Linked DNA regions of Tamandua tetradactyla. The protein of the gene in region 2 purifies or fractionates together with the protein of the main gene of each other region. This does not show direct contact. Links are inferred from orthologs where the notes say so. Each region holds a gene or a part of one and is shown on either strand. Other genes may lie near its edges.

Region 1 (7,765 bases), on a different chromosome or scaffold from region 2:
TTAATTTTTTTGAGGCCTGTGCCTTGTTTTGCTACTGAATTTACTTTTCATTTACCCACAAGCTCTCTATTATTTTGGCTTCCCCTTTCCTTCGGATGTTAGAGAACCTTCTTCCTGAAATTATCTCCTGTGGGCCTGAACTCATCTTTTACAATGTTCTTTAGAGAGATGATAAACTTCTGTTTGTCTGAAAAGATCTTTATTTTACTCTCATTTCTGAAAGTTAGTTTTTTATAGTATGCAGTTCTAGGTGGACAGGTTTTATCTCTGGGATGCTTATTTGGATAATTTATTTGGATATTTATCTTCTCTTCTGTTCTTTATTTTACTTGCTGTGTTTTTCATTTCTAGAGCTCAGAGGGAATTTTGGCCAAAGTTATAGAGCTTGGTGGAGATGGAATTCAGCTCTGGGTCTGCTGAACTCATAACAAACACACACACAAAAATAGAATTTTTTTTTCCCCGTAAACCACAGTGGTGATCCTGCCTTTATTTTTTGATATGCCTGGTTACTTTCATGCAATAGGAAACTAAGTAAGACAGCAGTGAAGGTCATACTCTTAAAGCATTGTTTAGCTAACTTATGTCTTAGCTGTGACACCTGTGGGGCTATTCCAATCCTGAATGAAAAGTAAGCTCCCGCATGAAGTCTCCCACCAGCTCAGCCCTCTTACTTCTGCTCCTACCTTGTGGAGGACCTTCTCCACCCTGTCTTCCAATTCCTTTCAAAACCGCTCGAGATACTTCCTCTTGACGGAGCTCCCGTTGGTCCCGATGCCTGCCGCGCGTTCCTCTGCTCACTTGTACAGCTCCTCGGTGCTTCTAAATGTGCTAGGATCATAGAACTGGAGACTGGAATGCTCTAAGCCATCACTTGGTTCAGGGCTTGCAAGGTTTTTTGTTGTTTCTTTTTTAATATAAACTATTAAAAATTAGCCACCATCTTTGCAAAACATGACATTTCACAAAATAGAAATAGGGATTACTGGCTGTATTTGTAGAACTGAAAGCTTGAGAAGCCCTGTGTCCCTACATGGCGCTGACTGGCTGGCGAGGCTCTGGGGCTGTCCCCTGTGGCAGGGAAACTGGGGCCTACTCGTTCCCACATTCTTCACCTTTTGTTGTTACCTGACTCCTGGCCTGCTTCACTGGTATGGCTTATCTGGCCGGTCATGTGGGCATTTGAGATGGGGATACCTGCCTTAGTTTAGCCCTTTCTGTGAGAACAAAGGCACTTGTGCTCAGAGAGGTTTAGTGTCCTGTACAAGGTCTCACAGCCAGAACTCACTTGCACAAGCTGGAGTGCGAAGGGTCTCTTGTACAGTGTAGGCGCTCAAAATGTCTGTATTGGCCTGAAAAACATGCTGCTCTTACGAGCACGAGCTTTATACAGTCAGCCTCTGCTACTGTGTGATCTTGGGCAAGTTCCTATCTGTGAGTCAATTTATCTTCAAATTGAGCTTATAATAATAGTGTCTACCAGGGCCTTTGTTGCAAGAATATGATACAATAAAATAACTATTGTAAATTGTTTAAAACAAAATCCAGGTCTTGGTGAGTTTTCAGTAAATGGCAATTATGTTTTTATAGGATGCTGAAGAACTTTGTTCTTTTAGTTGTTGATTCATTTGTTCATTCTATAAATATGTATCAAGTGAGCCAGGCATTTTTTTAACGTTTTGGGACACCGTGATGAATAGAAAGAGGGAAGTTCCCTTGCATCAGTCAGGGTTGGGTTCTCCAGAGAAACAGAACCAATAGGATATGTGGGTATATTTTAAGAGATTTATTTTGAGGAATTGGCCCATGTGATTGTGGGGGTGGCAAGTCCATAATCTGTAGGGAAGGCCAACAAGCTGGAAACTCAGGCAGATGTTTGTATTTTATCCTGAAGATGGTGAGCAGCCTTACCTCATTTCTTTTTGCTGTGCTAAGGTAGACCCTGTAGCTTTTGGGGGGCCTTTCGGAGCCTTGGTGACACTTCCTGGGTCTGAAGGCTGACTGGGTTTAGAGAATGGGGCTTCATTATGTTCTTGTCTTGATGCAGAATTTCTTGTCCAGGAAACCCAAGTTTTTGCCCTTATGATTTTCAGCTGATTGATGACTACCTATGTTATCTAGCATAGTCACCTCTACTTTGTCAACTGATTGTGGGTGTTAACCATATCTACAAAATACCTTCACGGCAACACCCAGACTAGTGTTTGACCAAACAACTGGACACTGCACTCCAGCCAAACTGATACATGTAATGAACCATCACATCCCTTATCTCCACCTCTTATCCCTTATCTTCCAGAGAATAAGTAAGAAAAAGTGTTTCTGATTTTGACAAGAACTGTGGAGTAAACGAGTAGAACGATATACTTGAGAGAAACTTTGGGGCCCTCGCTTAAATAACTGCTCAGGATAGAAGGCCTCTTGAAGTGGCCTTTGTCCCTAATACCCAATGGTGAGAAAGAGCCCGTTGTGTAGGACTAGCTTCCTGGCATTCTATGTCGCTGAGGTACAGGTGTACTGGCGCTGAGACAGGACAACTCTTGGCTTGCTAGAATGAAAAGAAGGTCACTGGATCTGTTCTGTAGTTGGGGGTTGGGTTAGTGGTTTGAGGTGATCTCAGAGAAGCAGAGTGCTAGATTATGCAGGGCCTTCTAGGCCAAGGAAAGAAGTTTGGATTTTGTCCTGTAGACAGTGAGCAGCCTTGCCCCTTTTCTTTTTGCCATGCAGTGTAGACCCTGTAGCTTTGTGGGGGACCTCTCTGAGCCTTGGGGAGTGCTTCCTGGTTCTCTCTGGGGTTTGGAGAATGGGGCTTTGTCATTTGGACTCAAAGATGTTGGCAGCATCAGCATCCCCTGGAAACTTGTTGGAAATGTAGGATCTCAAGTCCTACTCCAGACCCTATTGAGTCAGAAGCTCTTGGGCCAGGGCCCAGGAATCTGGATTCTAAGAAGCTTTCCAGGTAATTCTTATGCACACTAAACATCGAGAAGCACTGATCTAGAATGCATTCAGACAGATTTTCATAGGATTTGGATCTGTGCTCTCTGAAGAGTAATACGTGGGCACCCAGGGGATGCTGTAAGCTGCTAAGGGTTGAGCACTGATGCCAGAGTGAAAATTTTCGGAATCTGCAGAGCTCTCTGCCACAGCATATCTTTGATGTTGATGGCAGTTTGGCTTAAGAATGATTTGTGATTAAAAAACAAAAACAAAAAATGACCTTTTAAACAGGAAAAGAGAAGTTAATAGTTTTAGTTATTTAGAATATGTAAGCTCTGTGAAAAAATACAGAGAAGCTTGAAAGTGGAAGGGACTGGGAGAGCATAGCTAATGTCCTGACCTTGTGAATGAAGAGGCTGGAGACCAGAGATGTTAAATGGCTCTCCTGGGGCCACACAGCTGATTAGTGATAATACCCAGGTCCCAGATTCAGGCTTCTCAGCTTTGAGGCCTGTGTATTACACAGTGGGTTCTTTCTTAATGAATATATTTCCATGAGTATTGCTCCTTATGTATTTCATAACCGTGTTTAGAATGAAATATTATTTGGGGAGAAAAAAATAATTATGTGTATCTCCTTTACTGGTTTTAATGTTCTTTTTTTTTTTAAATCTTAGTACTGTGTGTACTTTGGACATCTTAAATCATTATTATTTAATATTGTCATATGTATTTTCATTCTCTGGAAGAGACCTTTACTTAATAGGAAATGGTTCATTTCTCCACTTAAGATTTGCGTTAAAACAGTTTCGCATTAGCTGAACACTTTTTAGTAGGGTGTGATGTTTTGTAATGCTAAAATATTTTAAATCTTTGGTACAAAGTTTATAATAACTAGCAACCGTTTGGTGTATTTGTTGAAGCAGTTGGTAAACATGTCTTTCAAAGCAATATTTCCGGTTCATATTTTACAGCATCACACTTGTATATTGACATACCCTTGCTTGAAGGGTGTTTTCCCCTACCTCTAGGCTATATGTCTGTCTTGCTGTTTTCAAGATTAAGGAAGTGGTGGTTTTAGAAGTTACATCTTAGTTATGGGTAAAAAATATTTTTGTGTTGCAGTGTTCCAGGAGCTTTTGCTGACAATTCCAGTTTCCGAACAAAACATTTGGGCAATGGTGATCCCTTCTCCGATCTGCTGTCAGCCATGAATGGATGGATGTGATGCCTGCTAGCTGAAGGGGTGAGTGCATATTTATGATTATTTGTCTGAAAAGCCACAGGACAAAAATTCTGCCTACCCCACACAGTGCAAGAAGCATAAAAATCTTGAGCCATCGGGACAATTACCCATTGAGGAGAGAATCTCATTGTGAAAGCAGAGACATACTATCTTGATTTTCTGGTTTAACCTTTTCAGACAACTCATAGAGTGCTCTGAGGATTTAAAAAGGCATAATATGACAGAAGAACTTTTTTTTCATTGCTTGTTTGTTTTCATCATACACAGAAGGGTGGACTATCTAAATTATGAACCACATGCAAAATTGTGTAATTGCTTTTTACATTACAACTTGGTGATAAAATAAATATACCATCATGAAATAAGGCTATAATTACCTCCCCATGAGTGTTTGGGATAAATTTAAGTCTGATTTGTTCATTGAGAAGATTCCACCCAAACCTTTCACATTATTAGAGTTCTTAAAGAAGCCAAAATGTTGGAAATTTTGGATTCTCAAAGGTTTTCTGAAAGACTTCTGGTCATATTTTTTCAGTAATATAATTTACCTCATTAAATTATTCATCGTTATTTTAGGGGTGTTTAGAAGGGGTGTGATTATCTTTTCCATGTAGGTGTATTTTTTGTATTGGTTAGTGTTTTTCATGTTCCTCAGAAACTGATGGATCCCCTTTAAAAATCAATTAATTATGACTTGCTGTTATCAGTTACCATTAATTGGCTGAGGCCAGGTGTTTTGGTTAAAAACTCTGCCAACATTCTATGGTAGCTTTTTCAGAATGAGAACAGCATTATGGGGAGCCATTTACTTTCAGATTTCATACTGGATGGCATTTAATGGAAAGAAACCATTGGCATAAATTCATCTTATTTACCCTAGTGAAGTTGTATTAGCAATACATTTTATTTAATGGTGGGAAGTGTAGTGAAGTAGAAAGAGCACTGAATTGAAAATTGGAAGACCTAATAGTTATTAACTTTGGGCAAGTTAATCTGTCTATGGTTTGATTTCCTCTATTTGAAATAAAGCAGGTAGGTTAGAGAATTCTTTTCTGTCACTGCTCACAAAGCCCTAGAAGTTGTCTATTTAAATACTCTTATTTTACAAATGGGGCCACTGTGGCTGATAGAAGCTAATTGAGAAATGGTTAATGGAGCTGTTCTAGGTCTCCAATCATTTTACTAGGTGGTCTTGAGCAAAGCTTTTGGTTCCCTCATCTATGAAGCCCTTCTGAGGATTTTCCATTGTTGGGAAGCTACAATAGACTTTAGCGAATGATCTGTAGGTCATGAACAAAGAGCGAGTACATGACAAGAAGATAGTGTGATAAGAGAAGAATATATCTTTGGGGATGCAGATAGAGTTAAAAAGAAAGCCTGGCATACCTCAGAATTCATAGAAGTGGTTGGAATTCTGAGGGTATTGAAATAGCAACAAGCTCAGGTTAGGTTACCTGTCATCTCTGTCTTCAGTATTGAGAGAGTCTGACTCAATTTCACTATCATAAAATTGATGTATGAAATTTAAGAAAACCACATGAATAAGTTTATTGAAGACTAAGCCTATTTTATTCAGTTGGGTAAGGCCCATTGTTTAAAAAAAATCGTTCTGAAGAACTATACTGAAAATATCTCTTTTGACTTGATAAAAAGTACTGTTAGGCCCAGCTGCATACCAGTTTCTTCTAAATAAGGAAGTATTTTGTGTTTATCAGATTGTAATAAACTTCCCTTCGCTGTAGTTTTAGTAGGAGATAGAGACACAGAATCTGATGAGCTGGTTCATATGTTCGGATTTTCTATCCTCTTCCTTAGTTTTCCTTGGGGCACACCTCCAAGGTTGACTGAAAGCAGTAATTATCTCCCAACCTCCTCCCTCCAGATGATGCAATAACCTGGTATTCCATGCATGATATACCTGATAGCTACTTAGCCATTTCATTGTCAAAAATTCATTCAATATAGGGTTTCTGTTTGGAATGATAGAAAAGTTTTGGTAATGGATGGTGGTGAGGGCCACAAAACTTCATGGATGCAATTAATACCACTAATTTGTAAGGTTAAAATGGAAAGCTTATATATATGTTACCACAATAAATTTTTTTAAAAGCATCAATAAGAGTAAGTTTTATTTATTTATACTTGCAATAAATTGCCTCAGTTGAAAAGAAGGAATTTTAAAACCAACTTTGTTCTGTACCAGACAAACACACTTTAACATATCTTGTGCTTTCTTTTCCTTTTTCCTCCCTTCTTATGCCTCAGACATTTTCATATCCTCCCCCTATGCCTTGTTTCGCCCTCTCTCTCTCTGCCCCTTTTCCTTCAATAAAACCAGTTTTTTTTTTTAATTGAACAAAAGTAAAAAGCATTCTAAACAACCACTTTAGCTGGGACTCTGCTTTTTGGAACAGAGCATTTTACAAAGCGAAGATCGCAAAACTGTTACCTTTGGTTAAATGGAAAATAATTAAAAAAAAATAACATTCACTGACAGCCCCGTGGCTTTGAGAACTCTAAAGTTTATTGAGTAACCAAAAGAAGCACCCATTTGTTGTCATGGCTGATAAGTTGGAGCCTTTAGGCTTGAAGGAGACCCTCACTCTGAGTGGAGTGTTCCACGATAATCCTCCCGTGGTCGACCGGCTCACAGTCATGGATGTAGCCAAGAGAACAACATGTTGCCTCACTCAGGTGCGAGGAAATGAAACTGAGATAAAATGTTTTCACAAACAGATCATTCTGGCAAATTTTTAAGGCCATAAAATGGGTAATGTGCTCGGTTTATGTTGATGATAATAACTATGCCTTCGTAATAAATTAACCTAGGGGCAGGATGCACAGAAACCACTTCTGGTCTCTCAGCGATGGGTTCTCGGATGCCGCTGTTCACTGGCAGGGAATCGGGGTTTGCTCCTGTTTCCCTGGCAAGAAGCCTTAGTGGATATCAGTACCTATATGATGCATATCACAAGACTTCAAGAGTGAAGGGGTGACTAAGGCTACTGCATAGTTAATAGGCAGTTAGCCACAGTGTTATTAATAAATGTGATAATTATAGCCTGGATTTGCGTAGAGTTTTCCTTAGAAGTGGTGACTGGAGATGGCGGATAGGCTGGCTTGTCAGTCCCTGCCTTGACATTGCACTATCCCTTCCGATAAATTGTCCCTTGCTGGTGTACCTGCTGTAAAGTTGGTAAGTGTCACCTGACATTGTTTTGGCTCCAGTGGTATTCCCTTATTCCCTTGTTTGCCATCTCTTCTTCTTTTGCTCCCCCTCATAATCAAGCTTCTGACTTTCTAGGAAAAGGTGAAAGCATGGGAAAATATACTTGTCTCACACTGGACTTGATAATGGGTTACTTCTTTGGCTGGAAGCTCCCTGTTCTCTTATAAAACTCAAGAATCTGAATTTTTGTCCTTAGTTCAGGGTGCATGGTGACGGGGCAGCTTCCAAGACAAGGTGGGGGTAGGTAGCTGGTGATTGGGAGCAGGAAAACCAGAGGATGGCCTCCCCTTCTGGGCTGCCTTGTGCTGCAGACTCTCAGCAGGCCGAGCTCTGTTGTGCTTCAGCTTCTA
Region 2 (7,913 bases):
TGGCGACCGCTGCAGGGAGGATAAGGGCCACCGGATTTTCTGCAGTATACCGGGCTCTCCCTCCTGCCCTCCGGCCACTGCAGTGTCCTCTCCATTCCCCAGCAGTCGATTCAGACAGTCCTGCCAGCCCAAGAGCCGCCTTCCCGGAAGGACTGGAGCTTCCTTTGCAGCCGTCTCCCCAGAGCTGGTCTGCTCTTAAATACTGGATAGAATTTAAAAAATGAAACACTTTCACGTGTTTATTTTTTGGGGGTCCCCCTGGGCCTCCTCCTCCCCGAGGCCTGGAGTGCCAGGGAACCCTGCAGCCCCCTGACATGGCCGAGTGGGAAGTGAGGACCCGGCCGTGAGTGCAGGCTGACGCAGCGCGGGGCGGACACTTCCATGCACTCGGAGTCTGCGCCCTGGTGGCCCCTCTCGGCGGCAGCGGGGTGACCAGGCTCCCCCAAGTCCACTGAGCCTGACCCCGTCAGGGCCTGACAGCAGCTCCTAAGACGTAAGCATCATCGGGTCTTCATACTAACTGACTACTGGAGCAGCGTTTCAGCGTAGTTCAAAAGAACCAAGAGCCTAAGGATCGTCTACTGTTCAAGGAGAGAAGTAAAATATCGATATTGGGCATTGGAAGAGCTGTCCTTCCTTAGGAAACCAGCTCAGGTGGCAGAGGGCAAACCCCGGCGCCCAGGCTGGTGCCCCGCTCTCTCCTACAGGAGAAGCCCATTTCTGACCCTCTTCCTTGGTCCACAAAGCGTCTTCTGTAGTCGGCAGAGTTTGGTTTGCTTCAGTGGGGGATGGGGCCGTTGCTGGGATGCTCCTGGCTACAAAGTTGAAGATGGAAGGGTTGGAGGGTCCCCGCGGCCTGTCCTTCCAGGCCCTGAGTTTTCTTCGGGGCGGCGGGGAGCTTCACCAGGACGGCCGGCTGGGCTCGGCCAAGCAGGGTGGGCATGGTGGGAGGTGGGACCGGGGCAGGGACCACCGATGGGCTTGGGGTGGGTGGGGGCTACAGCCAGAGCGGGGACAGCTGGGACAGGGCGAAGATGCACGCCTTGGGCTCTGCAGGCCAGTTCTCTGAAGGTGATTTGGGATGTCAAGGGCCATGGAGGGGCGCGTGGGGGCATTGGGGTGGATGGCCGACCCTCTCCCCAAGCAGGGCCTGTGGCCTCGGTGCCCCTGGCCCATCCAGAGGATTGAGAAGATGCTAAAGGGCCAGGCACATTCAGAATGGTGGATCAATTCCCACGTCCCTACTGAGCAGGGCCCCACCTCAAATACATGGCGGGGTGGGGGGAGCAGGGAGACGGGAGCAACAGGACCCCGTGCCACAGGGGCTGGCAGTGCAGCAAGAAGGAAGTCCAGATGGAAGGTCAGTCTTATATTAGGCTGAGGGTAAGGAGAAGGTGGACATGGAAAGGCAGTGGAGACAGCACGTGCAAAGGCCCTGGGGTGGGAGGGGAGAGAGGCCGCATGGTGGGACAGGGGTTTTGGGGCACTGCTGGAGCGTGGTGGGTGGAGGGGAGACAGGTTAGGGGAACACTGGGGAGGCCTGGGTGCCAGGACCCTACCTGGGATAAGAAACTTGTGTTTCCTGCAGAGCACAGTGGCACGCCCTAAAGGATTTGGGGCAGGGGATGACAGGTTTGCATTTAGGGCCCCTCCCAGGATGGAGGGGTGTGGGAACAGCGGTTGTCAAGGGGACCCGGTCTTCTGGAGGTGGCAGCACAGGGACGGGCGGGACAAGGGAGGAAGCGGCCTGGCTGGGCCAAGGGCTCTGATTTTGGACCAAGTTCTGAGAGTAAGCGGCTGCCTGGGAAGGGGGCGTGGGAAGGGGCAGCGCTGGGGGGGGGGGGGTGTCGGGTCAGCGGGTCTGTCCCGAGCAGCCCCTCTGCTCTGCAGTGACAGAGTTCCCCGCGAGGTCAGCCGGACGCTCACAGCCCCCCTAGGGGCATGCAACTCTTTGTTCATATTAGGTCCCAGGTATGGGTTAGAAGTGCTTGTTTCGTAAATACACTCCCAGTTCCCTGCCCTCCTTTATTGGGTGCCCGCAGGCGTGCCCACTGGTTGAGTCTGAAAGTGTACAGAGAGCTGGGATGGCTTCAGGTCCCCCTGCTGGGCACCCTGGACTGGCCATGGGTTTGGGCCTGTGCTGATGGGATCTAATGATGGGGCTTCCTAAGTTATTCTCCAGTGAGCCTAGCCTCCTGGCATCTCTTGTTCCTTTACGGTTTCATCTAGCGATTCTTCCAGTTGAATTTAGAATAATCTAGTCAAATTTGAAAGGAAATTCAATTGGAATTTTAACTGAAATTTCTTCTAAACTTGGAGAAAAATGGATATCCTGAGAATATTGTTTCTATTTCAGGCCAATGACGCCAACCTTACCTCTCAATAGGTTTCACAGCCTTTTAAACTAGACCCTTCACGTGTTGATGGGCCACGTGTGGATGTTTGATTTATTGGCACTGTGAGTGGGACAGCTTTTCCTAATATAATGTAGTTCATTCGTTGAATGAACTTTCCTGCCTCCGGGAAGGCTCTCCAGTGCTGTGGCAGGCTCTGGGCAGCAGGCAGGCGGCCACGGGGACACTGGGAGTCGCCCCAGGGGGCATGGCGGACACAGGGGCAGGAGGTGGCCGGCCCCACAGCGGGAGTGGCCTGTGACAGGGGCAGGTGAGGGGCGGAGAGCAGGGAGACAAGGGGAGTGGCCTCTTGAGGGCTTGGATGGGGGACTGCGTGTGCACAGAGGGCCTGGGCACAGCTCCTCCAAGGACGGTGGGCTCCCAGGCCCGCAGGGGCGTCCACGGCGGAAAGTCCCAGAAGCCGCAGATTCTGGAAGGCTGAGGTTGGCGACTTTGAAGGCCGCCCATTAGCCAAGTGCAACAAAGCAGAGGTTTGGAAGCAAATGTTGCAACTTAGGTTTATGTCCCCACATGTGCACACACACGCATGTGTTTCTCCATCTGTGGAATTTCTGACTTAAATGATCCTTTTGGGTTCGTAAATGAGCCTGAGGGGGAGGAAGCTGTTTGCTTGTGTAGGGAGCAGGGGACAGGCCATGCCCAGAAGTTAAGGGGGTGGGGGTGGAATCACCGCTGCCCCTTTGCCAGCAGCACACCTTGAAGCAGGCGCAGGTAGGGGCAGGCCTCAGGAGCAGGTAGAAGTTAATGCGCCTCCAGTGACACGCTGCCCCTGGGTTGCTCTATTGATGAACCTTCCCAGCTATCTCGGGACTGGGCCAGAGCCGGCGGGTGCCGCGGTGAGCCCCGCCCGGGCCGACGTGCCTGCGCCCAGGTGTGCAGGCCGCTTTGCAGGTGCCAACAGGGCCTTCCCCGTGAGTGCCCTAGGCGGGCTCTGGTGGCAGGCGTCGGCGCCTCACAACCCGGCCCAGCCCTGTGCTGGGGGAGATAAGGCGAAAGGAGGCCCTGCTGCCTTCCCCGGGTCCGGGCCGCCGCGCACCAAGCCCGGGGCTGGCCGGGCTTTCTCTGTCGCGCCCGCAGGGGTGTCCTCGGGCCGCCCTGCGCCCTCCTGTCTCTCCGGCCCCGCGCCCCGTCCCCCCTCCCGCCCCTTGACCCCAGGCCCCAGGCTCTGGTCCCTTGTTCCCCAGCTCCGCGGCCCCCAGGCCCTTGCCTGCATCCTCCAGCCCGGCATCCCCCGACTCCGCGCCCCTCCCCTCATCCCCCAGCCCCGCATCCCCCGGCACCGTGCCACCCGCACCCCCCAGTCCCGCGCACCCTGGCTCCACGCCCCCCCGGGGCCCTTGCCCGCATCCCCAGCTCCGCGACCCCCGGCCCCTTGCCCGCATCCCCCAGCCCCGCATCCCTGGGTCCTGCATCCCCCGACCCCTTGCCTGCACCCCCCAGCCCCCGGTCCCCCGGCTCCACGCCCCCTGGGCCCTTGCCCGCATCCCCCAGCCCCGCATCCCCCGGCACCGTGCCACTCGCACCCCCCAGCCCCGCGTACCCTGGCTCCGCTCCCCCCGGACCCCTTGCCCGCATCCCCAGCTCCGCGTTCCCCGGCTCCGCGCCCCCCGGCCCCTTGCCTGCATCCCCCAGCCCCGGATCCCCCGGCTCTGAGCCCCCCGCATCCCCCGCTCCGCTCCCCCCGCATCCCCCGGGCCCGCATCCCCCGCTCCGCGCCCCCCGCATCCCGGGGCGGGAGGGCGGCGTCGCTGCCAGGCCAGGGCGGGGCCGGCGGGCGCGCCCTGCAGCCGCCCGCGTCGGTCCGGCGCGGCGCGCTCGCCTGGAAACACGAGATTAATGCGGCCGCGCAAGCCCCGCCCGCCGCCGCGCGCCGCCGCCGCTCTGCGTCCCCGCCCGCTCGGAGGCGGCTGCTCGGCGCGGCGCGGCGCGATCGGCTCGGCGGCCCCGGGCGCAGGCGGGCGGAGCAGCGGACGGCGCAGGGCCCAGGCGCCGGGCTCGGCGGAGCGCGCCGCACTCGTCGGGGCCGCGGCCGCCCGCGCCTTTCAATGGGCAGCTCGCACTTGCTCAACAAGGGCCTGCCTCTCGGTGAGCGGGCCGCGCTTCCGGCCGGCGGGGGGCGGCGGCGCGGGGGGCGGGGAACGGCCGGCGGGCGGGGGGCGCGGGGGCGGGCCGAGCGCGCGCCGCGGGCGCCGCTTTGTGTGCGAGTGCGCGTGCGCGCCCGCCGGCCGGGGGCGGGGCCGCGCGCGGGCGCGGGCGCGGGCTGCTGAGTGCGCGTGCGCGGAGCCGCCGTCACGCCCGGCCGGGTCGGCGCAGGTGACACAAAGGGGCCGGCGCGGCGGGAGGGGCAGCCGGGCGCGCCGGCCGTCGGACCCCAGACCCGGCTGTCGTCCGACACCCAGATCCGGGTCCCCTCGGACCCCAGAGCCGTCCCTTTGCACCCCCAGACCCGTCTTCTCGGACCTCCAGTCCCGGTTCCCTCGGACCCCCAGACCCGGTTCTCCTCGGACCCACAGACCCGGTCTCCTTGGACCCGAGACCCGGCCCACGGCCCTGCGGCCTGGTCCTCTCGGACTCCCAGACCCGGGTCTCCTCGGACCCCCAGTCCCGGTCCCCTGGGATCCCCAGTTCCAGCCCACGACCCTGCGGCCCGGCCCCCTCCGACTCCCAAACCCGGTTCCCTTGGACCCCCAGACCTGGTCCCATTGGATCCGCTGATCTGGCCCATGACCCTGCACCCGGTCCCCTCGGACCCCCATTCCTGAGTCCCTCAGATCCCCAGACCCGGTCCCCTCGGACCCCCAGACCCGGTCCCCTCAGACCCCCAGACCCGGTCCCCTCGGACCCCCAGATCCGGGTTGCCTTGGGATCCCCAGATCTGGCCCACGATCCTGTGGCCCGGTCCCCTCAGACCCAGTGTCCTCAGACCCTGATGTCCGGCGGGGCCCCATTGGATCCCCAGACCCAGGTCACATCGAACCCCAGACCCAGAGTTGCTGCCCTGCAGCCCAGCCCTCTCATAGCCCCAGTCCTACAGCTGGCTGGGTGGACCCCCAGATCCAGCCCACAACCCTACTGCCGGGTCCCATCAGACCCCCAGATCTGGCCTGCAGCTCTGCACCCTAACCTCATCAGACCCCCAGACGCAGGTCCTACCATACCTTCAGACCTGGGCCTACCCGGTTCCAGGCTTGTTGGACCTCCAGAACCTGGCCTGCAGTTTTTTGGCCCAGCCCATTTGACCCCCAGTCCCAGGTCCCACTGGACCCTCAGAGCTGCGTTTCATCTTAGATCTGCCCCCCATCCTCGCCCCCCACCCCCGTCCTGGATGTCAGCCTGTGAGTTGCCCCGACCGGTCCCTGCTGGAGCCGGGCTGGCCTCGTTGGGCGGTCAGCAGAGCCTCCTGCTCTGTTTAAGTCGCCTTCCTGTCCTGGAGCCTCCTGCTCTGTTTAAGTCGCCTTCCTGTCCCGGAGCCTCCTGCTCTGTTTAAGTCGCCTTCCTGTCCCGGAGCCTCCTGCTCTGTTTAAGTCGCCTTCCTGTCCCGGAGCCTCCTGCTCTGTTTAAGTCGCCTTTCTGTCCCGGAGCCCGGGTTGGCGTCCGTTGTGTTTGGAGCATGCTGGGGTGTGCTTTTGGTGCTTCTGCGGCGCGCAAGCAGCCGGTTCACCCATCGACTTGCTTTGCAAGAAGGAGACAGCTCTCCCTCCGCCTGGGGATGTTTACTGTGTGTGACCAGGGGTGGGAGTCAGAAGGCGGTCGCGAGTGTGTTGGCCCAGCACTGCCCCCCGCCCGTTTCCTGTGGGTGGGGGTGGGGGCTGCTGGCCGACCCGGGCCTCTGTGACGTCCGAAGGCGAGGCGGCCGGCCCTCAGGTTAAGGGAGGTGACCCCAGGCTGCCGCTGTCGCACCGCAGCCCAGCTTTGCCCTTAGGCCTCTTGCTTTGAATTTTTTTGTCCCCGGTTTGTGTGTGTAAAATTAGGACGCAGCTGTCCGGCGGGCGGGAGGGCAGCCGTTCCCTCTGTGCTGCCGGCTGGAAGGCCCAGGCATTGGCCCTGCGACGTGGGTGTGTGGGGTGTGTCCGTGTCCCCCCGTGGGTGGAGGGGCCGCTGCTGGGGCACCCCCGCGGGCACCCCAGCGACACAGAGTCTGTGCATCACGAGGCACCTTGGTCTCCCCTCCTGGCATCCGAGCGCCAGCGCAGGGCCCTTCGGCTCCAGGCCCAGGCGAATGCAGGCCTTGCTCTGAGCGGCCCTCACCCAGGCCACTTTGTCACTTGCGCACGGCCCTCCGTGGCCATTTTGCAGTTCCTGGTCGCGTCCCCGCAGCGTGGCCTTCCTCGTGGCAGGAGCACTTCCGGGGTGGAGCGTCCCCGGGTCCTGCCTGGCCCGCCCGCCTCGGCTGCCCCCTCCTCGGCCCCTCCCTGTGCCCGCAGCGGCAAGGTCAGGCGGGAGCCGGGGGAGGGGGCCGCACCTGAGCCGGAGGCTTGGAGACTGGAACCTTCCCTGGCAGGGTGCCCAGCCCGGCCTTTGCCTGGGGACCTGCTTAACCCTTTGCTGCCTGCTGGAAGAAGGGCCGCCCCAGGAGGGACAGGGAACCCGTGGGCGGCCCTGGCTGTGGCCGTGGCCCTGCGGCTGAGCTGGGCTGTCACTCTTGCCACAGGGAAGCCAAACACGTCTAGCTTTCTGGGGTTTCCCTCCGTGGCCGCCGCCCTCCAGGGTCAGGCCGTGGGCCTGGAGGTGGCCGTGCCTGGGGAGATTGGGGGCTGCAGAAGCTGTAACCCTCCGCCCTGCAGCTCCCTCCCTCTCTCTACCTCCCCGTCCCCGTTCTCTCCTGCTGGGGAACCCCGCCCCCGCAGCCTGGTTTCCGGCCAGGACCCAGGACCCTCTTCAACAGTGACGACTTTGCCAAGTGTCCGGCAGTCTGTGCTCATGGTGAGCGGTCCAGTGTTTGAGAGGAGGGCCTGGGGACGTGCCCCTGGCAGTCTCCCCCGGCAGTCTCCCCCCTCAGCCTCCCTACCAGCAGTCTCCCCCCCCAGCAGTCTTCCCCCCCAGTTTCCCCCCCAGGCAGAGTCCCACCAATCTCCCCCCCCCCGTATCTTCCCCTCAACAGTCTCCCCTCTCAGTATCTCCCCCCAGCCTCTCCCCGCCAGCAGTCTCTCCCCAACTGTCTTCCCCCATCCCTCCCCCACCAGCAGTCTCCCCCAGTCTCCCCCCAGCAGTCTCCCCCCCAGCCTCCCCCCCTCCGCAGCCTCCCCCCCTCCGCAGCCTCCCCCCACTCTCCCCCGCAGCAGTTTCTCCCTGCAAGCCGTCTCACCCCCAGTCTCCCCCCGAGCATGCCCTGTGTCTTTGGAGCGGATCGGGTCTAGGACTGGTGCTACCTGGCCCTGTCCTGACCCCCCTGCTTACTGGCCTCCCCACACGGCTGCACAGTTGGATGGAGGGGTGCAGCCGTGAGGGGCTTGAGGGGCTTGTACCAGTGTCCCCGGGAGGGGCGACATGCGGTGGGCA
Region 3 (8,015 bases), on a different chromosome or scaffold from region 2:
CGGGCTCTCAGTAATTTCCTTTTGCCTAAGGCTCCCTTTTCACTTTTACTCCGGCACGACAGCTCCGAGTACATGGGATCTTTATTTTTTATTTTAACCCCTAAATGCAACCCCTCCCGAAAACAATGCAGACAAGAAAAATCGAATAAAATCAACTCGAGACCTTTTCGCTCAGCTCACTCGCAGGCGCCCTCCCCTCTCGCTCCTTTCTTTATTCCCGTCCCGCCCCCTCCTTTTCCGACCCACTCTCCCCAACTCAGATGTATTCTGGACACTATTTAATAGACGAGTGTCTTGCAAGTAAACTCAGGCGTCCCTTGGGTCTGCATTTCATATCTGTGACTCTCTCCCTTTCTCTCCTGTGGACTGAAAATTCGGATTTAAACCACTAGACAAGCTATTAATTTAGCTAGGCTACCCAGGGTCCTGAACCCAATTAATTTCTAATAATTATAGCCCAAGGGGGCTAGATAGATCTCCCTGACTCTTTCTTTTATTGCCACTCCACGCCACCGAGGTCAGCATATAATAATAAAGTGTATATTTTGAAAGCGATCGCCAGAACAGTGAGTTATTGCAATGAATGAAAATTGTTTCCATTTTGGCTAATTGAGCTGGTGGCCGAAAGCTGGAGCTCTGAGACTAAATAAAGAGGACTGTTTCATTTCAACATGAAGAAACCCCTGCCTAGCTCTGGTCACCCAGTGAGAGTTTAATTTCTTAACAGCCACCCTGAAACCCAGCGTTGGGTAAACAGTATTAATAATTGCATTACAATGATTAAATTAATCTCGCTGGTAGCCAGGAGAATATAGGTTGCGATTGAATGGAACGATGTAAAGTTCACTGCACAAAGACAATAGGCCAAGAAATACCTTCATAAAGAATTCAAACTTTCTTCCAAAGATACTGTGGGGTTGGTTCAATTATAATGCTAGAAAAAGAAAATTTCCTGTTGCATGGAATGTGTTGAAATTCGGTTCTTTGCCGTTTCTAGGATTAATTCAAGAGGCAACCAGAGAAGGGGTGTGCGTCTCTCCTCCCCTAAAATTAACCAATTTCTCCCGTCTCCCATCTCGATCTCCCTGGAACAAACAAATGAACAACAACAAAAAAAAGTAAAAAAGAAAAAAAAGAAAGAAATGCACCCCCCTCCCCGAAAAAAAAATTGGCAATAATAAAAGAAGCAAACCCAAACAGCTCATAAACTCGTTCGATTTTTCCAATGAGGCACGCCCGCTTCCGTGGGACGAAGCTTGTGAAAACACCGGGACCCGTGCAACTGCCCCTCCAAGAAAAACGAATTTCAGGAGGAGAGAGAAGGGCGGGCAGTGGGGGCAGCGCGGGCAGCCCGGCGGCTCTGCCAACTTGTGGACGGCCTCTTTTCTCTTGGGCCAGCGACACTTTAGACGACCCGTCAGAGGGTTTCTGGAACTCCGCGGGGCGGTTGAGCAGAAAGTCACCTGCTCGGGTCCCACGGCTGGGACCTGGGGCAGGTGGGACTGACGGGATCCAGGCTCTTGGGAACGGGAACCGGCCAGGGCCGGGCCGTGGGGGCGCGGGCAGTACCCGCGGGGAGCGCGGCCGGGCTGCTGCTGGGCGTTTGCTCCATCAGGTTAAACACACTTGAACCAGCCATTTAGCTTTTTATTGACACACATACACAGAAAAAGCAACCGGCAAAGAAAGAAAGAAAGAAAGAAAAAGGCAGGGGAGGAAAAAAAAAGGAAAAGAAACACAGGTTTCGAGTTTGGAAAAACAAAGGGGGGTGGTGGTGGTAACGTGAATACTTTTATTAAATAAAAAAGTAAGCTTTGTCTCTTCACAATATCCTGACCAGGGCGGGGGCGGGGGTGATCAGAGGAGTTTGCTTTGATTTCAGTTACCAGGGGCTGAGCGCCCTCGGCAGCTCTCCCCTCCAAACCGGGTAGGAACCCGACAGCTATTAATGGGGTTCGGAAATGCTTGGAAAGAGCAGACAGGAAGATGCCAGCGCAGACACGACACTCACCCCACGAACTTTCAGAAACAGGAGGATGCCCGTGCCTCCCCTCCACACACCCCCTCCACGTCTTCTAGAAGTTTGAAAGACAGGGACTTTTAAATTGGGGGGACAGGAAAACTCTGATTCGGTTCTCTTCGGTCTTTCACCTCCCACCAAGTTCCCTTCACACACCCACCCCACCCCCTAGTCCGCCACGTGGTCTGTCATTTCTCAGGAGAACCAATTCCTGTTTCACTTGTGGGTCTTTTATTTTAATCTCTGGGTTTGGGTCAATGGTCCCTTAGTTCTCTCGAAAATTCCCCGCCATTTCTCTTAATCCCCCCCCCCCCCCCGGTACCTAGATGTAGACAGACCCCCTGGGGATGAAATGAAAGGAATTAACGGGAGGAGTGGAGCGCAAGACCGAAACTCTAACTTTCTCTCTTTTTCAATAATTCTCAGAGGTCAGAAGGTGAAATGAAATGTCCCAGGTTGAGGTGCGGAGCCTCTTCCTAGCCAGGGCGCTGCGCATGTGCCTGGACCCCGGGCCCTGCTAACTCCAGCTCCCTCCTTGGGGACCTAGGCTGTAATCCTTAGACGCCTTCTCAATTTCGACAACCCGGAAGGGCCGGTCCCCGGGTCGCTGACCCTCGGTCCTGTGGCCTAGGCGACCGTCCCCAAACAGCATTGATCAGACGCTGCCTCAGAACTGCTTGCTCACCAGCTTGGCGTGTTTCTCTCTCCTAGAGATTTTGCTCCTTTTGGGAAGCTGAGCCTCCATTTCCCCCTTTACTGGCCAGTAAAGCCATTCCTCCATCTAACCTGAACGGGGCTAACAGATTTAAATTTTTGGAGTCAAATGCCGGTGGAAACCCACAACCAGAAGGTTGTAGTAGCAAGTATTTTTATTATTATTTTTTTTATTGTACATGCCAATGTGTAAGCACACCCACCTGGACGCATTTGGCAAGAGGAACTGCAGAGGGGCTAGAAAAACCCACGTGCCTCTCTAGTCCAGAGGGGATGATAGAATTCTCTCGTAACATGTGCTTGGGCACCAGAGCCTTCTCCATTGGAAGTTATTTCCCTCCTGCTCTCTGTAATTCCCTCCTCCGCCTCCCCCTTCCCTTCCTCACATTTCAACATTGCAAATCTGTCTCCCTTGGGACCTGTAGCGTGGCTCTCCAGAGACCTGTATCCTACAGCCAAATGCCCCTGGAATTACGCAGTTCTGGAGAAAGAAAAAAATGGTGGGCATCCTTAGCAGAGCAGCCAAAGTTCAAAGACCAGAGAATCCTTTGAACTTTGGTTTCCTGGAATAAAGATATTTGCGGGACATCAATGCCCTTTCATGCTGGATCTTTCTACCTGTTCTTCTCACACCTCCAGTCCTAGTTTTTCCAATAAATGCCGATATAAAACAACTGGGTTTTCTCAAAGATCCCCCTTGCCCTCCCCTGCCTTCGACAAACTCATATCCAGGATCTACTTTTCTTTTTCCCTTTCCTTCAACTTGAACATCCAGGATGTATTGTCCTAGTAAGGAGGCTGAAAAGATTGTAATTTTCTTTTATGGTGTCTGTCAGGATTTGCAACAGATATTAATGGGGACATAAATAGCACATGGAAGGTATTGAACAAAACTGTTTAATGCAAGAAGGTTGTACCAGGAGAAAATCTATACTTAGTTGGAATTAATTCATACCTTGAATACAGCTTGCCCCTTTAGAAGTTCCCCATTTCTGTGTTCCCACTTCCACTGGTAAATCCTGTAATTAAAGCGAATTTCAACAATGTCTTTTTTAAGGGCAGGGGGAGGAAAAAGTTCCCCCTCCTCCTCCTTGTGACCCCGGAGATTGTAGGGTTCCAGCGAATGAGTGAAAATGGCAGACAGGCAGAGCTGCAGCAGAAGGCGACAGGGGCAGCGATGGCAGAGGCCGGAAGGTGACACCGGACCTCGGGGAAGGCAGAAGGTCTTGGATGTCAAATGCCCGCGCCTGCCCGGACGTTGAGATCAAGAGTGGTCACTGCTGCTTGGTGGGAATAGACCACTAAAATGTTCCAAGGACGACAGCAAGCGTTGGTATTATACCTAAAACCCAGAAACATTTATTTATTCTGCTTCCATCTCTGAAAGCGGAAGCCACAATAGCTTTAGTAGCAGCAGCAGTACTAGCAGATTTCCCGGAGTTCAGGATGAGTCCCACTTTCTCCTGGGCCATTTGCGGAGGGTTCAGCCCTTCTCCTAGTTCTTACGTATGGGAAAGATTTTTAAAGTTTTTTTTTTCTCTTCCTGCACTTCTTACGTTCTCCCATAGATGGTACAGATAATTTTCTGCAATTTATGGCGGGGGAAAAATAATAATAGTAATGATACAGGCTTGGCTTATCGGTGATTCCAACACGTAAGCCTCTGTCAGAGCCTTCTCATTCCTTCCCTTTTTTGGGGGGGGGGGGCTCGAGGTGTCGGCTCCCCTCCGGCTACCCGCGCCCGCTCCCCGCCCCCCGCCGCCCTCCCCACGGCTCCCTTTCTCCGCCTCCTCGGCGATTGCCATCTGACAAGATCTCCAAATCAAAGTGATAAATCGCTCCAAACTTTTTTTGGCGGCGCTGAGATGTTGGAGGGGCGTCTAGCGCGCATGTGCGAAGGTGTCCAAACTGACAATGCTGGAGAGATAGCGAGTGTGGATTGAGAGAAAAGGAGAGAGGGAGGGAGAGAGAGAAAGAGGGAAAGACAGAGAGTGAGTGCGTGGAAGTGTGTGTGTGTGTGTGTGTGTATGAGAGAGAGAGTGAGAGAGGGAGGGAGCGAGAGGGAGAGCAAAAGAAGGAAAAGATCCAAGAAAAAAAAACCCCAACCACACACCAGCGGCTGCAGGACTGGGCACAGCATGAGATCCAAAGGCAGGGCAAGGAAACTGGCCACAAGTAGGTGCAATATCCCTTTTCTATTGGCTTTCCCCCCTCCTCTGCCATCTTGCATATCTGTCTCCAGCGCTCCGGGAGGGAGCGCGGGGCTGCGTGTCGCGCGGGGCCCGGGGTGGAGGGGAGGTACAGCGCAGCCCCAGCAACCTGCCGGTCCCTGCCGCCGCCGCCGCGCCCGCCCGCCCGCACTCTCGCTTCTGGTTTGGGAGCCGGAGGTGCGGGGGCTGCGCTCAACCCTGCGCACCGACCAGCTGTGGCAGCCCCGGGGTGGGGGTGGGGGTGGGGGCAGCAAAGACGGGGTGGGAGGGAGAAGAGCGCGAGAGCAAGCGGGAAGGGGTTGGGGGGGGAGGGAGAGGAGAAGGGAGAGCGTCTCCCCCTTCCCTCCCCTCCCCCCAGACGGGGGAGAGTCGCTTCTGGCCAACCAGCTAGTCCCGAGTGTGGGAGGAGGGGGGGTGGGAGCGAGAGATGGGGGGGGACGCGAGGGGGCGGGCAGGGGAAAGTAGCATTTTTGAGCCTCGGTTTGTTTCTGGGGTTTCGGGTGGTGGCAGGCTGGGAAGCAGCCACAGTGGCGGCGGCGACAGGCGGCCAGCAGTGGAGTTGGGAAAAGTTGCAAGGCGGCCGCTGGAAGTTGCGCGGGCCGGCGGGCTGCGCCGAGCCGCGCGGGTGCTGTAGTGGGCGCTGTGAGCTCGGCTGTGGCTCTCCCGCGTGCGCCGCGCGGCTGGAGAACTGAGGCGGGGTGGGGGGTGGGGGGTGGGGGTAGAGTGGAGGGAGATGCGGGAGGGGGGCTGTAATGTGTGTGGGGGGTCATCTGCAGAATAGAGCCACTGGCTCCTCCGAGTCGCGGGCAGGTGAGAGAGCAGAGGCCCAGTGAGCGCGTGGAGAGCGGGGCGCGGAGGGCGCGCACCCAGCAACTACAGCCGCCGAGGAGAAAGGGCCGAGCGCGCGCGCTGGGGCCGGCAAGCCCCGGGCTGGCTGGACGCCGAGCGACCCCCAGGGGGCGGGCTGCGGGAACGCGGGGCTGTGCAGAGGGCGCGGCGGAGCCTCGGCTCTTCCTCTAGGCGCAGCCCCCCGGGCCCGGGTCGCTTACCCTCCCCGGCGCCCCCTGCCTGCCCGGCGCGGAGCGAGCGGCCTTGGTCACGCCGGGACCGGGCCTATTGGGTACGGGGTGGGGCCGGCGGGACCCCCATTCCGGACCCTTTTTCTCCAAAAGTGGTGGGTGTACCGACCGGCTTGGCGGGCTGAACTGCTACTGTGCGAGATGGCGCGGGCCTCAGCCTGGACTGGAGGCGACCGGGATGGGTCTGTCCAGATGCTTCGACCTCAAGTGCAAGGGGACTCGCGGCGCCGAGACCCGAGCGGCCCTGAGCGCTCCCGCACTGGGGATCGGCACGCGGGGTGGCCGCTGCGGCGGGAGACTACCCGCAGCCGCTCACTCTACACACGCCGGCGGCCGCCGCAAACAGAGCTCTCTAATTGTTTTGTCGGTGGAGTAGAGCCGGGAAAGATGGAGGGTGGGATGCAGCTCCCCAGAGAAACTTCCAGGCTTCCCCCTCCTCCCTTGTACTTGAGAACCAAAATCTGGCGCTCCCACCCCCTCCTAGCGTCCCGCGGCGGCGACCCAGCGGCTGGCCGGGTATAGCGGGCGGTGGGAATCCGCACTCCAGCCTAGCGCTCTGCCGGGCTCGTAAGCGCTTTTCCTGGCCTCGGCCAAGCACTCCCTTCATGTCCAGAAACTTGTCTTTCGCCCGGGTCTTAGGGATCCACCTAAGTGTGGGGCTTCTAGGGTCATCAGTTCATTTATTTCTTTCTCTTTGGGATGTTGGTCATTTCACTTCGCTGCGGCAGTGTCAAAGCGCGCCAGTGCAGCTCTTTTTTCCTGTTTGGTTTTCATAGGAGGCCGCTGTTTTTATTTTCATCCGAGGGGGGGGAAATGTCTATATGCTTGGAAGCCGGGGGGCTTCAATTCCCACTAAAGGTTTGTAGAGGGGGTGGGGGGTGGCGTGGGGGGCTGGGGTGTGTGCGTGGGGGGGGCGTGTTTCACCCCTGCCTCAATTGTGTGAAATGAAAGCCGAAGGCTTCGCGCGCCTGATTGCCCAGTATCCGCCGAAGTGAAAGCAGAACACAAACCCCTTAGAATTTTCTCGAGCAACTTTTCCAACTGTTTAAATTGCCAAATGTACGCTGCTGAGATGAAAATATCTCTCCCGCACAGCTCCCTCCATATTCCTCTTCAATCCGAGTCCCGAGCGTTTCTGATCGGATACTTGTCATTCATTTGATGGAAGACCCGTTTATTTTGTGTCGGTCTCTGAGGAGGCCACTGTCGCTTTCTGATGGCTAAATCAGGACACTTACAAACTTTTCTTGCTGAGCTTCAGGTTCCGGCTTGCGTTGCTCCAGTTGTGGCCGCCGCAGCTGACTTTTCTCAGACAGAAGCGGTGCTTTCTGCAATTCTTCAGTTACAATCTGGGTAATAAAGGAATCATATTAAAACCATGCTTTTTTTTTTTTTTTTTGTATTTTAAAGCGCTATTTCCTTTCCTCGAGTGGCACGCGAGTTTCCTAGCGCGTGGTGGAGATGGTAGGTGACCCCTGTGGTGCAACCGTGTAACGAAAACTTCGCCTCTCCGCCTGTACCGGTTCTTTCTTTTGCTGGGTTAGAAAGGGTCAGCCTACTTTAAAAAATAAACTCTACCTTTTTCGTTGCAAAAGTAAACAGTGGAAACAAGTCACGTAGAAACGGTTGTTTTCTCGGTGGCTTGTTATTCTTTTTGCCATTTGTAAAATTCCACGTAGCCGTAAGTCCTGACTCGTCTTGGCTACTGTGCAGTAGCCCGTGGACCCGAGACCAGGGACTCCATACAGACCCTAAGAGTACCTGCCACCCTGCACTTACACCCAGAAATGAACGCCGACCCAGTCTCCAACTTGTAGGATTTGCTTTATGCACAGTAGTTGAGACCGAGAAATTCGTTTCGAATCATCTGGGAGGATTTAAAAGCTTAATTAAAACCTAAAGAAGAGGAAAAGCAAGAAGACTGACATTCGTACTGTTCAAAGCCCTTGGCTTTTATTCCCATCTTTAAGAAAAGTAAAAGTAAAAGCCAAG
Region 4 (7,659 bases), on a different chromosome or scaffold from region 2:
CTTGAGACAGGAAAGGATCAGTGTATTTGCAGACTTTAAAGGAGGCCAGGCGATTGGAAAGAAGTGGGTGGGGAGGGGAAAGGAGGGAAAAAGAACTGGATTTACTTCTAAGTGCAATGGAAGTTACTGGAGGGTTTTAAGCAACAGAATGACATAATCTGAAGGAAGGTTTTATTTATTTATTTACTTATCTTATAAGATTGCTCTGGCTGACTGCTGTGTTCAGGGTGGATGGCTAGGCATTTGTTGCAATGATCCAGACCAGGAAATCAATAATGACTTGAATTAAGGCAGTGGTAGCAGAGGAAAGAGTAAAGCAGAGTGTAGTAGAGTGAAGATATATTCTGGAAGCGAAGCTGACACGCAGGCTAATGGATTGGATGTGGGGTCCAGGATGCTGGAAAAGGAGAAAACAAGAACCAGGCCTGGGTTCACAGTTTGGGCAACTGAGTGGGCAGTAGAGCTATTTCCTGGGACAGGGAAGATGGGAGGGACCCAGATTTGTGCAGGTGGCAATCAAGAGATGCGAGTCTATAGGTAGGCAGGTAGGAGGTAGGCAGATGGAGGGTCTGCACTGGAGATAAAAGTTGGGGTGGAATTTAAAGGCCAGGGGCTGGAAAACAAAGCCTAGAAAGGCTAACGACCAAGCATTTAGGGTACTCCAAGAAAGCACAGAGTAGGGAGCAAGTAACCAACTGGGAGAGTGAGGGAGAGCATCGTAGAGGAGATAATGCTTAAGCCGGGCCCTAAAAGATGAGTAGGAGTTTGCCAGAGGAAGTAAAGGGAGATCATCTGAGATAAGGAACTGGTGAGCTAGGGTCATGGCTACAACGCCAGGGCCCTGTGCGCTGCAAATGTGTAACACGTATTTGCTGAATGAATGGTGTGGCTAGCAACATTCAGGCAGCTTGGTCAAACTGGAGAAAACCCTGGTAATGAGAGCAGGGATAGGTGGTGACATGACGTGCTGGTGGAGAGGCTAAGAGGCCACATCACCAAGGCCCAGCTTGCCTGGAGAAGGGACTGAAGAGACTTTAAAATATGTGATGCCTGGGGGAGGGGCATGGTCAGATATGCAGTGTAACAAACGCTCTGAGGCCCTGGTGTAGACAGAGAGGGTGGGAGGAGGCCAGATGAAGGCAGGGAGGTGAGCCCTAAAGCCAGGAAGTGAGATTAAGACAGGGAGACCAGTTTGGAGGCTGTGGAGAAATCCAGGTGAGAGCTGATGGTGGCCTGACCTAGGGCAGGGCTGGGGTCATGGAGCCTAGACACAATAAGCAAGAAGACAACTGCTACCAAAGGCAGGCGTCCCCAGCATAGCAGCAGATTTGTGGAAACATTAACTCAGATTTTTCCCTCCTGACCCTTTCGTGCTTCCCTGAGTCAAGGGTTTAGACAGGGCTGACAGCAGGAAGCCACAGCTCTTCTTAGGCTTTCCCTAAAAATCTGATTCCCCTCCAGAAGAGAAATACCCCCTTGTCCCTGACCAAGGAGGGAGAATAAAGAGAGAAGCCTCTAAAGGCAGAGAGAAGAGGCCCCAGGGAAAAACTCTCTGGCTGTGCCCTGGGGTGGGCCGCTAGGCCCTGGGAAATGCTTCCTGGGGCCCAGGCACCAGGGGTCTCATGGTGGACAAAGAAGCGTGTAACCCACTGCGCTCCAAGGTACCCGCGGGGGCTTCTAGAGACCACTACCATAGAACAAGGGGTGGGGGTGGCCTGGAACCAAGAGGCCCTCCACATTTCCTGGGGGGAGCAGTGTTCCATAATTATTCGTGGGAAAGTTTGTGTCAAACCCTACACCATGGCTGATCCACTCGGAATGAAATCGTATTTAAAAACGAAAGAAATGGCTATTTCTTGCACACCCAGGCCCAATCATACAAGGATGACTCCTTCCTTGGGTGCCTGGCTTGGGGAAGCGAGGCTGGGAGGAGGGAACGCAGAAAAAGGCCGTGCTTGAGGGACGGGGGTGGGGTGCCTGAGTTGTGCGTGGACTTGCCGACTGGGAGGTGTCCCTGGTCACCCAGGTGGGAGGTCGCGCAGCGGCTGGACACCCGGAACCCTGGAACTCAAGTCGGAGGTCTGGGCTGGAGGTTTACGTTTGGGAGCCATAGGTTTGCAGATGATAATAAGAGCCACGGCAGTGGGCAAGACCCGCAGGAAGGTGAATGGGGCGGGGAGAAGACAGTTCGGTGCAGGGGCGGCGGCGGAGCGCTGCTCGCGTCCCCGGCTGGCTCCCGGTGCCCAGGCGCAGGAGCCCGCCCCCCGAGGCCCGGCCTGGAGCGCGTTCGGAGGGGGTCGTTTCCAGAGCAGGTCCCTCCCCCGCTTTCCAGGGCTCTGCTGGGCGGATAACCGAGCCCTGCAAAATCAGTAGCGACGGATAACCCAGCGGGTCCGTCGGGGACTTCCAGGGCGGCCGCCGGGCGCAGACCCCCCGGTCTCTGCACTAAGTGGGCGCGCGAGGAAGGGGATGGCGGCAGACGGTCTTCCAGACCCCTAGGAATCCCGTCCGGGGTCTCCTCCCGCCGTCCCCACCCCGGACCCCCGCCCCGTGCCGCGGCGCTCCGGGTGCCACCTCCGAAGCAGCCCCCGCCCGCCCGGCTCCGCCCCGGGACCCCTGCCCGGCCCCCGCGCCGCCGCCCGGTACCGTCTCCGGGGGAGATGGTCTCGATCTCCACGCCCATCGCGGTCCCGCAGGCCCCGCCTCCGGGGGTCCCCGCTGCTGCCCCGGCCCCGGCCCGGCCCCGCTGGCGGAGTCTCCGGCTCGCCTCCCCGCCGCCACTGCAGAGCCCGAGGAGGTGCGGCTGGAGTCGGGCCCCGCGCGGGGAGGGGCGGCCGGGGCGCGGGCGGCGGGGCGGAGCCGCGCGGCGAGGTGGGGTCGGCCGGGGAGGGGCCCGGGTAGGGACCCTGCAGGGCTGCTCCCCTGCCCCGCCCGCTGACCGGCAGGAACCCGCCGGCCGGGAGGCCGGAGAGGGAGGCAGCAGGCAGTGGGGCAGGAACGCGCCCTCCGCACCCCGCCGCGGGTCCAGTCAATAGCTATTTATTTAGCACCTACTGTGTGCTAAATTCTGGGTAGTCTCCCGGGTCCTGGAAACCAGGCGAGCAAGCCGGCAATTTAAGCAACGCTTTAATTAGATGTGCTCCCTGGCCTGGGTGCTAAGAGCTGTGGGCGCGCTTGGAAGGCACCGACCCTAGAGGGGGTGAGGCGGGGGGGTGTCTAAGGGGGCACCAGGCGCTGCTGACCTTCCCCCACGCTCCCTAATCCTCCGTTCACCATTTTGTGTACTTAGGCTTCACACACACTTATTGAGGGCCCTCTTTTCCAGGGAAAGTGTTGCCTGCGGATACCACTTGAATTAAGCAGGACCGCTGTCCTCGAGTTGCTGAGCCTGTGACCGGCGGGGGGACACTGACAGGCACAGCGCCTTGAGCGGTTAGTCCGAGACCCTTCATCTCAACCCAAAAGGGATTCGGGAATCTGGAAAGAATTTTTGGGAGGGGGTAGCATGTGCTTGAAGGACGAATGGACGCTAAAACAATCTCTCTTTTTTCTCATTCTTCCCTGCACTGTTCCGAAAACTGCTGTGAAGGTGTATGACTCTGCCGCGTGGCACTGGAAGATGGGCTTGGGGCGAAAAGGTGCCCAGAGTGGGCCCTCGAGGTGTCCTTCCCCCATCTTCTCCCCCACCCCAGGCGGTTAGGTCAGAGGCTTCAGGGTGTCAGCATCCCTGAAGGACTCTGGGTTGTTCCAAGCTCAAGAAAGATGAAGGTCAGCCTTCCATGGGGTCCAGACCTGAAAGTCTCCTGCGCACGGCCCAGACTCTCCCAGGAGTGGAGCTGGTCTGAAGAAAGGAGCCCGGGCTGCACTGCCAGCTCCTTGGGTTGTGATCACACGCAGGCACCTTTTGGGTAGAGCAGGATCTGTGACTGCCGCAGGTCCAGGGAGCCGCTTCAACTGAATGCACTGTATTTCGTGTATACATAACATTGGCATTGACGGGGTATTTTACCATAAATTAAAGAGGTCCTCGAGTCTCACCTCCTTACCTCCCCCCCCCCCCCCAAAAAAAAAAAACAAAGATGAGAAACCGTGGTTGATGCTATGGTTCCCGTACTCCTTAGACTAAGAGGGCGGACAGAAAGAGGGGGACGGGGCTAAACAGGTGAAACTAGGGAGAAATTGTGCCTGGCTTACGGTCCGTGGACCTTAGTAGGGACTACAACTCCCAGAGATCCGTGCGACAGAGCCCCAGCTTATTGGTTGGGAAGAAGGACGCCCTCTTAACTTGACATACACGATAGCCAATAGGCAGGGGCATTGTGGAGGTCGCCCAGCCATCGCTGGCCTATCAGAGGACTAGGGGCCGATGCTTCCGGTACCTGTGGGGGCCTCGGGTCGGCGGGCTGGTGAGGTGGGGCGCTTTGGGGAGACTGGCCTTCGGTGGGGCAGTGAGACCCAGGTACTTTGTCCACTGCTGCGGGGTCTGGCCGGTGTGGGGTGGCTGCGGGTGGGCGGAGGGACCGGCGTGTGGGGAGAGCGGGGGCTCGGGAGTGCGGAGACGGTGGCGGTCCCGCGTGTGAGGAGCAGGAGGGCGAGGACGCCGGGCGCGGATTTAGACGTGGAGACCGCTGGTGTCTTTTGAAGCAACACTTCCTAAAGAAGGCGGGCAGCCTGTAAAGAGCACGGGCCTCCGTCACACCGTTATTCATAATAGAATAAAGTGGGCTCCAGCCCGCGTGCCCCATGGGGAGGAGTAGGTCAGTAAATTACGTCATTTCACTAAGGGAATATTGACCTCTAAGTGTACTTTATAAAAATTTTAAGTAGTATGAGAAAATGCTAACGTATGATGTTAAGTGGAAAAAAAAAAGTGATAAAATTATGCAATGTAATTGAAAGGCATTAACAACTAAAACCGGTGCATAGAAAAAAGCCTGGAAGGATGTAGTTATAATTTTCTATGGATAAACGGATTTTTGTGAACTTGTGTTTTTACGTTTCTTTTTTTCCCCCCTCAAATTAAATGTAAAGAATTTGAAACTTTTTTTTTTTATAATGCAGACGCAATAAACTTAGAAACCTAGAGAAACTAATAGGCGTAGGTACCTCTGTGTAAGCCTGCTGGAAATGCACCAGGTCACCTAAGCCCTTTGATTCTCACGGTGGATGTCTTTAGAGAAGATTAAGAACAGAAGGATTAAATGGTCAGATACTGAGCACCAGGACCTGTTTCTGACCACCTCTCCCAAGGACTAATAAGAGTGGTCTTTTCTCTCCCTAAAACACCTTAGCTACCACAATGTGGAAACACCTTGGCTAGTCTCTGTGGGAATTCAAGGATGAGTGAGGCAGGCCTCCTAATTTTAGCAGTCTGTAGTCTGGGTGTTGAGAAACCAACTGGTAACTTCAAACAAAATGTAAATTTTTGAAAGATGGAGAATAATAGGGAATACTTGAGGGTTATTTCAGCCTTGGTCTCACTTACTGATCTTTTGCAGTGAGCTTGCCTACTGCTTTGGCTTTAACTACCAAGCCCATGCCAAGTGATTCCCAAATCTTCATGGCTAACTGCGTAAGATGCATTGCTAAATTCTTAAATGAACCACTTCCAATACTGAACATACCATACCCTACACACCTTTCTCACTACGAAAGCCTGTATCTCGTTAATGGTTCTGCAGTTTCCCAAGCTAAAAATCTTCCTATTATCCTTGATTCTTCTTTCTTCCTCACCACTCCTATCTGATACCATTATCTGTTCCATCTGCCCTTGAAATATCTCTTGAACTTTTTCCCCTTATCCTGCTGACATAGCTACGTACTTGGCTCACATTCTCACTCTGGCATTCGAACTATTTCATGGCACCTTCTTAAACTTGGCAGCCTTCTTTCTTCTCAGGTCTGTCCTGCTCATTGTCACGTGAATGTGTGCTGGTCCCTCCCAAATTCCAAATTCTGCAGCAGGCCCTTTATAATCACGAAGGTAAGGTTGGAAAAGTTATCAGTATCAGAAAATGTAATGCTTTACTATGACATTTTGAGTAATTTTTTTTTCTACTTAGAAAAGTAGTAATTACTTTTCTACTGTGGGCTGTGGAGACTCATCAAAGGTTTTTGAGCAAAGGACAAGATGATCAGAGCTGTGCTTTTTTTTTTTTTAAAGCTAATTCTGCTTGAATACAACTAGTGTCCAGGCTATTTTGGAAGGAGAGGAAACTAGTATTAAGGGGATCACTCCTTATTTTACTCTACTAAAACAGGAGATATGGTCAGAAATTAGACTACCACGGTATCAGGAGAAGTAGAAATAGATTTCTATAGATTATTATAAGTACTGCTAGACTTTTGAGAAAAATATGCCAGTATTCTTGTCACTTCTAAAAATCTCAGTAACCTTATTTTTGTTTCTCTTTTATTTGCAAATTCTTAGATGCTATTCCTGTTCACATACCTTTTCAGCGACGTTAGACAGATTTGGAGTGGCTTAAAACATGTCCTATAAATTACCTTAGATATAATTGTCCCATTAGGAATTTTCTCTGCCCAGGAGAATGCATTATGTATTATTTATCAAGAGAACTCTTAAAATTCATAAGTAGATACTAGGGAAAAAAACATACATTATCTTATGCAAGACCAGTGGGATAGAGAGTACACTTCTTTTTTCATTAGATGATAATAACAGGAGACTTATTTTTCCATTTGGCAAGTCACTGAAGAACTGCTTAATCTGACATCATATATAGAAGCATAACATACCCTTCCTTTTTAGTAAGACTCTGAGAGTAAGGGTGAACCTAGCAAGGATCCAGGCAGTGTTGTAGAAAATACGTTTCCTTGGATTTAGAGTCTGAAGGCTTCTTTTCAAGTTCTGTCTTTTTATTTTCTATTATTTTAATTATAGAAGTTGTAGGCTTACCAAAAAGTCATGCATAAAATACAGAGTTCACATATACCATCCTATTATTAACGCCTTGCATTAGTATGGTGTATTTGTTTCAATTCATAGAAGAATATTTTCATAATTGTTCCATTATGTATAGTCCATCGTTTGCAGTAGGGTTCACTGTTTGTATTGTACGGTCCTATTTTTTTTTTTTTATTAATTAAAGAAAAAAAAAGAAATTAACACAACATTTAGAAATCATTCCATTTTACATATGCAATCAGTAATTCTTAACATCATCACATAGATGCATGATCATCATTTCTTAGTACATTTGCATCGATTTAGGAAAAGAACTAGCAAAACAACAAAAAGATATAGAGTTAATATAGAGAAAAAAATAAAAATAATAATAAAAAAAAGAAAAGGAAAAAGAAAAAAACAAAAGACATGAACAAACAAACAAACAAACAAAATTATAGCTCAGATGCAGCTTCATTCAGTGTTTTAACATAATTACATTACAATTAGGTATTATTGTGCTGTCCATTTTTGAGTTTTTGTATCTAGTCCTGTTGCACAGTCTGTATCCCTTCAGCTCCAATTACCCATTATCTTACCTGTTTCTAACTCTTGCTGGTCTCTGGTAGGTCCTATTTTTTTAATATAACTTTTATTCTGGTAACATACAACCTTTAATTTCCCTTTTTAACCACATTCACGTCTGTAATTCAGTGCTGTGAATTACATTCATGATGTTGTGCTACCATCAC

Evidence for each region.
Region 1: the proteins of CTBP1 (region 2) and FOXP1 purify together in Homo sapiens (affinity purification with western blotting; 3 studies listed by BioGRID and IntAct, with this or other methods). This does not show direct contact. The link is inferred for Tamandua tetradactyla from reciprocal best matches to the Homo sapiens genes CTBP1 and FOXP1.
Region 3: the proteins of CTBP1 (region 2) and MECOM purify together in Homo sapiens (affinity purification with mass spectrometry; 6 studies listed by BioGRID and IntAct, counting the BioPlex papers as one, with this or other methods). This does not show direct contact. The link is inferred for Tamandua tetradactyla from reciprocal best matches to the Homo sapiens genes CTBP1 and MECOM.
Region 4: the proteins of CTBP1 (region 2) and WDCP purify together in Homo sapiens (affinity purification with mass spectrometry; 3 studies listed by BioGRID and IntAct, counting the BioPlex papers as one, with this or other methods). This does not show direct contact. The link is inferred for Tamandua tetradactyla from reciprocal best matches to the Homo sapiens genes CTBP1 and WDCP.

What each region holds. Positions count from the first base shown.
Region 1 is NC_135341.1:12,430,082-12,437,846, forward strand, and holds the start of FOXP1 (forkhead box protein P1), read left to right. Parts: upstream 1-4,168; 5' UTR 4,169-4,186; intron 4,187-7,765. UniProt on the Homo sapiens protein: Transcriptional repressor. Can act with CTBP1 to synergistically repress transcription but CTPBP1 is not essential. Plays an important role in the specification and differentiation of lung epithelium.
Region 2 is NC_135345.1:919,766-927,678, reverse strand, and holds the start of CTBP1 (C-terminal-binding protein 1), read left to right. Parts: upstream 1-4,409; 5' UTR 4,410-4,459; coding exon 4,460-4,499; intron 4,500-4,698; exon of another isoform or gene 4,699-4,727; intron 4,728-7,913. UniProt on the Homo sapiens protein: Corepressor targeting diverse transcription regulators such as GLIS2 or BCL6. Has dehydrogenase activity. Involved in controlling the equilibrium between tubular and stacked structures in the Golgi complex.
Region 3 is NC_135331.1:66,879,904-66,887,918, reverse strand, and holds the start of MECOM (histone-lysine N-methyltransferase MECOM), read left to right. Parts: upstream 1-4,594; 5' UTR 4,595-4,761; coding exon 4,762-4,909; intron 4,910-8,015.
Region 4 is NC_135329.1:7,218,137-7,225,795, reverse strand, and holds the start of WDCP (WD repeat and coiled-coil-containing protein), read left to right. Parts: upstream 1-4,366; 5' UTR 4,367-4,459; intron 4,460-4,644; exon of another isoform or gene 4,645-4,757; intron 4,758-5,899; exon of another isoform or gene 5,900-5,983; intron 5,984-7,659. Other genes in the region: peptidyl-prolyl cis-trans isomerase FKBP1B, read right to left, coding at 2,647-2,683.